Linked DNA regions of Oryctolagus cuniculus. The protein of the gene in region 1 interacts with the protein of each later gene in a biochemical or structural test. Links are inferred from orthologs where the notes say so. Each region holds a gene or a part of one and is shown on either strand. Other genes may lie near its edges.

Region 1 (3,553 bases):
CAAATATAAAGGAATCCTGACTTTTGCATGGACAATTTTTTTTAAAAGATAAAATGTATTACATAAGCGCCATAAACAGTGAAATCTGCTTATATTAAAAAAAATAAGTGAAGCTTTGTTTGAACATTATTTCCTTGCAAGAGCAGTACATATCCTTTAGTAAACAACTACCATATTTACAAGTTAACTTCCTTGATACTTAGGTAGGATTGAAAGCGAGAAGAAAACATGAGATAATGAACTCTGAAATAATCTTTATAGTGAAGTTGCTAACAGTGAAGGTAGCCAGGAACAATTCCTAAAGCAGACTTGTTTACTCTGTAGAGGGATCTGACTATGTCTGGGTAGTTAGCTCATTTCGCTAAAGGCCAAGGACGTGTTCAAGCCCTCTTCTGGCCTATTGGCTTTTCCCAGAAAAACAAGTACCTGCTCCACAGACTGACCCCAACCAGCTTTAAGAGAGGAATTAGGCAAAAGTACTGGGGTTATCATTATTTACTCTTACTACTAAGAAAACATAAAGTGCCTGTCCATAGTGAGTGAGCTGTCTCATCTTCAAATATGGACACCACAATTAAATTTTGAATTTCAATTAAGCCAAAATGATACACTTTCAAGGAAAGGTAAAAAAATCCCTTAATTCACCTGGTCATCATATGCAAGATATTAAGTCTGCGATAGACTGTGATGAAATATTAGCAAGTGTGCACTAGTACCTTAAATGGCAAATCTCAAAAACACTGCAAATTCGAGACTTTCCTATGAGCACACACATCTGTACCAACTGCAATTTATGCTAAAAGTGGTTTGTAGTCTCTTTCCTCCACTGTTGGAGGTGCAGACTTGCAAAAACATCAACTTAACTTGATGTAGTGGTTTGTGTCTCTGCAACCAGAGTTCTGCCAAATTTGCCGATCTGCCTCATATGTTCCTGTAGAATGCCAAGTCATGCTGCTGCTGCTCTCACTGTATGGAACCAGTTGTTGTCTGCATTATTACTGTCTACATGAAAATTTTATGCTCCTCAGAGCAGTTTTCTTGACTCCAATCTGTCATTTCCTGCCTAAATTCAAGTTAAACACACAATTTCCATTGGTCTTTAATGCAGTTTGACTCTGCATGGCCCTATCCTATGCATGTCACAGTAGCTGTTCACATACATTAAATATTATAGATATGTTCTGCTCTTGACACCTACACACTTACAAAAGCAGCTTTGTACTTTGTTTGGTGTGTTTTTTTTTTTTTAAACTATGTTGGCTCACAAAAAGCAGTTCTCTCATTTCTAAGCATGGTACTTTACAATTTTTTATGCATTAATACAACAGTGCATTGGAAAAGTACTGAGCCTCTACAAAATAGCTTTACATTTTTAAACAAATGAATGTGATTTTTTTCACTTACACAAGCATAGGCTTTTTAATATTTCCACAAGATAAATATCTCAATTAAACTATAAGCTCACTCTACAGTGTGCCACAGTGATGGGCTTAGGAGACAGTTATACACTTAGAGGATTCTAACCTTAGTGTTATTTACACTGACATGTCCAGTATCACCTAGTCTGAAAGGTGAACAAACAATACTCAGAATGTGGCTGAATTTGTGTCAATAACTGGGAATGGTACAGTTTTAAGTAATCACTTAGGAAACACATACTGTAACTTAGCCTAAAGTGGGAAGTTCCTTCACCCCTCTCTCTCCTATGGCATGGGAAACTTTACATAAAGATCAACATGAAACAGATAGGAGCCATTGCTAAGGCAGATCCTTTAAGATAACAAAGGAGAAACCAACAAGTGTATATGATACAAATTATCAGTAACAGAGATGTCATCAATTCAACTGGTACTGAAATCAGATTGTTAGATCCTAAAATGTTGCTCTTTAAATGCTTCCTTGTGTTCTGGGACAGAAACTGCAAAAAAGGACAATGATTCCTTCAGAAAGCAATGACTCAATTCAGGTTGTTACTTTACATTTAAGCACCACTCAAAAAGTGGACATAAAACAAGTGATTCCTGTTTGCCCATCACTATACCAGCTACATAGCTGAAAGTTCAGATCTTAATTACACAACACTTTCTCTGTTACCAGAAGCTAAGACTGCTCTGCGACAAATAGGGCAGGTAGAATTCTCAGACAACCAGCGATCGATGCAGTGCACATGGTACTCATGGGAACAAGGTAGTTTACGAAGTTTGTTGCCTTCTGTATATTCTGTAATACAAACACTACAGGTTTTTAATGCATCGTTTTCACCAAAACTTCTCATTGCCAAGTTGTCAATCTGTTCTTTGGTGAGTCCTCTAGGTTGGTCATCATCATCCTCATTTAAGAGGAAAAACTGAGCCAGACTAAGGAAGGGCAAAGAGCCACTTTCATCAAATGTGACCGGGGCCCTATGTCGACCCTCTCGCCTGGCGCCTGATGATGAGCTTCCTTCATTACTGCCTTCAAACACCTCTGAGCTACTTTCTGAACTTTCACCACTGGAACTGGAACTGGAGCTAGGGCTCGAACTGGAACTGGAACTGGAACTGGAACCAGAACTGCTACCACCACCAGAACTCCCTCTTCCATTCCGTGGCTCTGCCCTCTCCATATTTCGACTTGGGACTGAGCCACTAGGTTCTGAATCACTATCACTGTACATAAAGTAGCTTAACTCACCAAAACCTGTCATTATCTGCCTTAACATGGTCTGAATTGCAACAGATGTAGTCTCACTTAAACCAGTATTTAAGATTCTACGAATGGGAATTCTGATGGTACTGACATAGGTTCTCACACCTGCCCGCTCAGAACGTGAAAATGTACGCCTAAAACCTCCTCGTTCACTTTCATAAGTGACAGTGTTGTTTGATGTCTGAGACCTTGAGCGAGTTCTACTAGCTATGCTATCTCTTTGCCGATATTCCCCAGGACGAACTCTTCTCACTTGAAGATCAAGGACTATGGTTGGAGGTCTCTGCCCTGATCCTGTGGATTCACCATTGCTGGCTGTGTCTGAAGAACCTGCTCCTTGAGAGGCATTTCTTGTTCCAGAAGCTGCAAAAAGACCCCTACTTAGCAACTCTGGTCCAGTGATCTGCTGTCTTAATGTCACATGGTGTCTGGTTCTAGAACTTCCCTCAGTCTCATTTACCAAAGGATGCTCAAAAGTCTGAGATGAGATACTATGATGAGACCTTCGTGGAATTTCACTCATTGGATGCAGAGGTGACCTGCTTCTTTCAGCTCTCGCTCTGGTTCTCCGATGGTCGGGGCTCCTGCTTCTTGCCCTCCTCAGACCTCTGGCAGGTGGAGCCTCTGCTAATGCTTCAGATGAATTTCGTTCTGATCTAGACGATCTTGTAGATGTTGATTCAGATCGCGGATTTTCCACTTGCCTTTGGCTGTTTTCCACATTTTCTCCACTAGAACGTCTTACAGATGGCTCATTTTCATTCTCTGAATTTTGGCTCCCATTATTACGGTTAACATTTATTTCTAAGCTGAATCTGAAATCACCACTGTTTGGATTAGTCCGGCTCACTGCTCTCCAAGACTG
Region 2 (4,184 bases), on another chromosome or scaffold:
AGGCTCTGCCCTGGGAATCCAGCGTAGGAAATGGGAAGACAAATCCTTGGCCGGCGCGGGGGCTGGCCACAGGCTGGGCACGGGGCGCTGCCTTGCATGTCCTTGCACAACTAAGCGTCATGGTTACACTTTCTAGAAACATCCAGAAGGTGTGTGTGGCCTCCCAGCCTGGCCCAGTCTGCTGGCCATTGAGGTACAAATGTGGGGTGGCCACAGGAGTACAGGTGGCCTGTGGGCACCAGGCTCAGGCCGGGGTGCAGAGGCACACAGTAGGTGCCTTTCCTCCCACGCAGTCACATCCCTCAGACGTCTGGCCTTTGGGGGCCCGGAATCCTGGGGTGCCTGGGGCTTGACCACCCTGCTAATTTGGAAAAGGTCTCTGAGAGGGGGGAGCCAGGCAGGGGGCGCGGCCTGCTGTCACGCTGCGCGCGGGCAAGGGTAGGCACCCTCCCACCCCTCCTGCCGGGGCGGGGACAGAGACCCCCCCAGTGGGTCCCAGGAACCGGGAAGCAGCCCTCTGGGACCTGGGAGTTTAAAATCCGGCTCGACCCTCGCTCTCTGCAACCGACTCGTCCCGCCTCTGGCAAAGCCGGGCCCGGTACGGAGCTGAGGATGCTCGGCGCGCCGGGGTCCCCACGGCGAGGACCTCGGGGGTGCAGCTGGGGTGGCACAAGTCCCCTCGGTGCGAATTCAGCACCGCCGCGCGGACAGCGCCCGGGTCGCGCCGCCCCGAGCCCGCATCAGGCAAAAGCGCCCACGCCCGCCCCACGCTCCACCCCCGGCTTACGCTGCATGGTGGTTCGGCCACGGCGGGGTCTCCGTCGCCCGGCGTCCCGGAGCCGGCGCGACCAGTCCTCTCCCCTCCCTGCGACTCCCTCCTCTCCTGCCTCTTCCTCCCAGCCCTGAGACCACCCCTCCCAGGAACCGTCGGAAAATAAATAAATAAGGGGGCAGCGAGACCCCGCAGCGGGATGCAGCCCCTTCCCCACCTGCCCGCTCGGTTCCTCGCACTCCCACCGCGCCAGCCCGGGAGCCCGCGGGGAGCGGCCCAGGGCGCGGGGAGCGAGGCTCGTGCCTCCCGCAGGCTGGGGGCCAGGACAAGCGGGCTTTCTCGAGCCGCAGGCGGGTTCTGACCGTCTGGGTGTCCACAGAGCGGGCGCGGGAGCGGCGGTCAGCCGTCCCCCTCGTTGGACTCGGCTCCCCCGGACGGGGTCGGGCGGGCGTGGGCTGGGAAGAGCCCTCCTGGGACGCTCTCGCCCCAGGGTCACCTGGCCCCGCGGCAGCTCCCCGCACGCCCTCCAGCCGGAGGCGCTTCTCTGCCGAGGTGCCCCGCACACCCGACAGCGCCCGGGGCCCCGACGCAAACTCGCACCCGCTCCCGTCCAGGTCCCTCTCTCCGGGCCTGCGCTCGCCGGGGCACCCACCTCTGCGCAGGTCGGCCCTCCGCGCCAGCAGCGCCAGCAGCAGGTCACCGCCCGCCGGCTCCCGGGCCGGGCCCAGCTCCGCGCGCGCCTCCATGAGTCCCGCCTCCGGCGCCGGCGCTCCCCGGGCCCGAACTTTCCCGGGGTCCGGCCAGGCCCCGGTCGCAATGGTCAGAGCGACTCCGGCGCTGCTGGGCGCTGCGCCCGCGGGCGGCCCAGGGGCCCGAGACTCAGGCCGCACGGAGGGCGGAGCGGCCGGGGGCGGGGCCGAGACGCGGGGCGGGGCCGGGGGTCGCGGACACGCGCCAGGGGCGGCCGCGGGCTCTGCGGGCCTTAGCGCGGGGACCTTGCAGTGCCCGCGGGAGGGGATGCGTGAGAAGGACGGAGTCCAGCCTGACCACAGGCGTTAGGCCCTGCCCCGCAGCTTCCTGTCCCGGCGCGGGCTCCAAGTGAGCTCCAGCAGGGCTGGGGGTCCTGGGAGGACGCCGGCTCCTCCCGCGACCGGGACTGGGGCTCCGGAGCGGGTGCTGGGGCTGGGAGTCTTCGTGACGACGCCTGGAGCGCGACCCGGAGCTCAGAGAGCGCGGGAGCCGCAAGGAAGGCCTCCTGGCGGCCGCGACCCCAGACCTCCGCTGCGGCCTCGCTCCCAGGCCCGGGTCGGGTCGGGAAGGAGCAGGGTTCTGGGGAGGGAGCAGGCTCAGGTCTTCGGCCTGGACACGCAGCCAAGACTGCGGGTCTGGGGCACTGAGTGGGGAAGCCCGGGACACACCCTCGGGCGCCCCCGGCCTCACTCGCCTCGCACAGAAGTCTCGGCGCCTGGGTTTGCAGCTTCCTGCCCAGAATCCAAACAGGTGAGCGGTCGGAGCCCCTCTGTCCTTGCACAAAGCGGGACGCACCTGGGAGTCACCCAGGCCTCCTCCAGCTGCCCTAAGTGCCCGGTGCTTTAATGCCCCCTGCAGACCCGCGCAGTTCCGCGTCGCCACCGGCAGCGCGACTCCCTGGCTCCCTCCTGCCCCGCGCCTGTTACCCTAGAAGGGCCAGGGCCAGGGCACCGGGGCGTGGAGCGGAGTTGTTCTGGCGTTAAGTGTCAGCTGTCGCAGAGGGACGGCGGGGCCATGTGTGGCTTCACCGGGAAAAGCCGGTAGCGGTGGAGGCGGCGGCCCCACGCCGCTGGGCATCTGGCGAGTGCGCCAACAATAGCGGAATGGTCCTTGGGGAGGGCGGTTCAGGCGGGAGACCCGGCCCGGGGGCCAGAGCTGTGAGGGGCTCTGGTCTGGGGAGCAAAGGCCCGACGCAGGCCAGCGCCAGGCCCTCGGAGCCACCCCTCGCCTCCGTGGCCGCCTCCATGCTCCGTCCCGTGTCCCCGGACTATCCCTCGCCGCCCGGTTCCCCGCGCCGCGCCGGCTCTTACCCCGAGGCCCGCCGAGGCTGCAGACGGCGGTGGCCGCGGGGGCCCCGGGCCCCTCCGGGTCGCGGTCGAGTTCCGTCTCCAGCAGCATAGCGGCCGCCGGGCTGGGCTGAGTCGCGCGTCCCCCGAGGGCTCGTAGCTCCCCGCCCTGGCGCGCCCCTTCCGCGTCGCGGGGAGCTCCTGGAGCGGCCGGACGCTGTCCGCGGTGCTGAAGGAGGCGCCCGCCGCCCGCCCCGCCTGCGCGCCCGCCCGCCCCCTCCCCGTCCCCGCCCCCCGCCCGCCCCCGGGGCCCGGGCTGTCGGCGTCGGGCGCGTGCCCCTCCCGTGCGGGCCTGGCCGGACTCCGCGGCCCTCGCCTTCGCCCCCGCAGCCACGCGGCAGCCGCGTCCGGTTCCGCTGCGCCCTGAGCTCCCCTCCCGGGTTCGCAGCAAGCGGGTCTCCGCGCCGGACGCCCGCAGCTCGGGGCGCCCTGGGGCTCTCCCCGCACAGCTGGCCTCAGCACCTCCTCCGTCCCAGCCGACCTCAACTGCCGGCCGCGCTCCAGGCCACCGGGGCGCCCCGTCCAGGAGGAAGGGCACCTGTGGTCACCCGACACAAACGCTGCGCGGCGCGCCGGGCGCCGACCCCAGGGCACACGGAGCTTTCCCACCAGGCTCTCCCGGAACCCGGTGGCGTTGGGCGTGGGGAGCCGGGGTTCCTGGGGCCTCCCTCCCCTACCCCAATAAGGGCTGCCACGGACCGCACTCTGGCGGGAAGTCCGCGAGCTGTCCGGCGGCCGCCCCAGCCCGCAGCAGCCCCAGGGAGCTCACCGGCCACCCGTCCCCAGCCTCCACTTCCCACCCGACCCTCGCGGCCATCCGGGGGTCTCTGGTTTCGTAGGGGAAGCCCCGCCTGACAAGGACCAGGTCACAAACGTCAGATTTATTTTTAAAATGTATTTAAATACAAAATGCTGACTTTCTCTGCAGGTAAGAAATTCCACCAACATTTCCATGTCAATTGGGCTCTTAAAATGCAAATCCTTCCATTAAAAATAAATAAACATTTAAATTACTCAGCTATCATTTGTATTAGTCGCAATACTTAAACTTTAGAAAATAGACTTGAACCTTGCCCGGAGCGCCCCGCGGAGTGGGCCCCCCGAGGCCATTTCGCCAAACCCGGGTCCGCGAGGAAGTCCTGGGGCGCACGGCGGGGAGTGGCGGCTCCTGAGGCATCTTTGGACCCCGACGCGGGGGCCACCCGTGTCTGTGCGCGACCCACCGGCCGGAGACCCCTCCCCCCAGCGGCAACCCTGCCCGACAGGGCCCCCAGGAGGCCGCTGGCAGCCACCGGTGTGAGTACAAAACGGGAACC

The links. The genes of interacting proteins can lie anywhere in the genome.
Region 2: the proteins of RLIM (region 1) and LHX3 form a complex in vitro, tested with the Homo sapiens proteins (2 studies listed by BioGRID). The link is inferred for Oryctolagus cuniculus from reciprocal best matches to the Homo sapiens genes RLIM and LHX3.

What each region holds. Positions count from the first base shown.
Region 1 is NC_091453.1:54,291,896-54,295,448, forward strand, and holds part of RLIM (E3 ubiquitin-protein ligase RLIM), read right to left. Parts: coding exon 2,072-3,553; 3' UTR 1-2,071. UniProt on the Homo sapiens protein: E3 ubiquitin-protein ligase.
Region 2 is NC_091432.1:236,771,755-236,775,938, reverse strand, and holds the start of LHX3 (LIM/homeobox protein Lhx3), read right to left. Parts: upstream 2,819-4,184; 5' UTR 1,519-2,818; coding exon 1,425-1,518; intron 1-1,424. UniProt on the Homo sapiens protein: Transcription factor.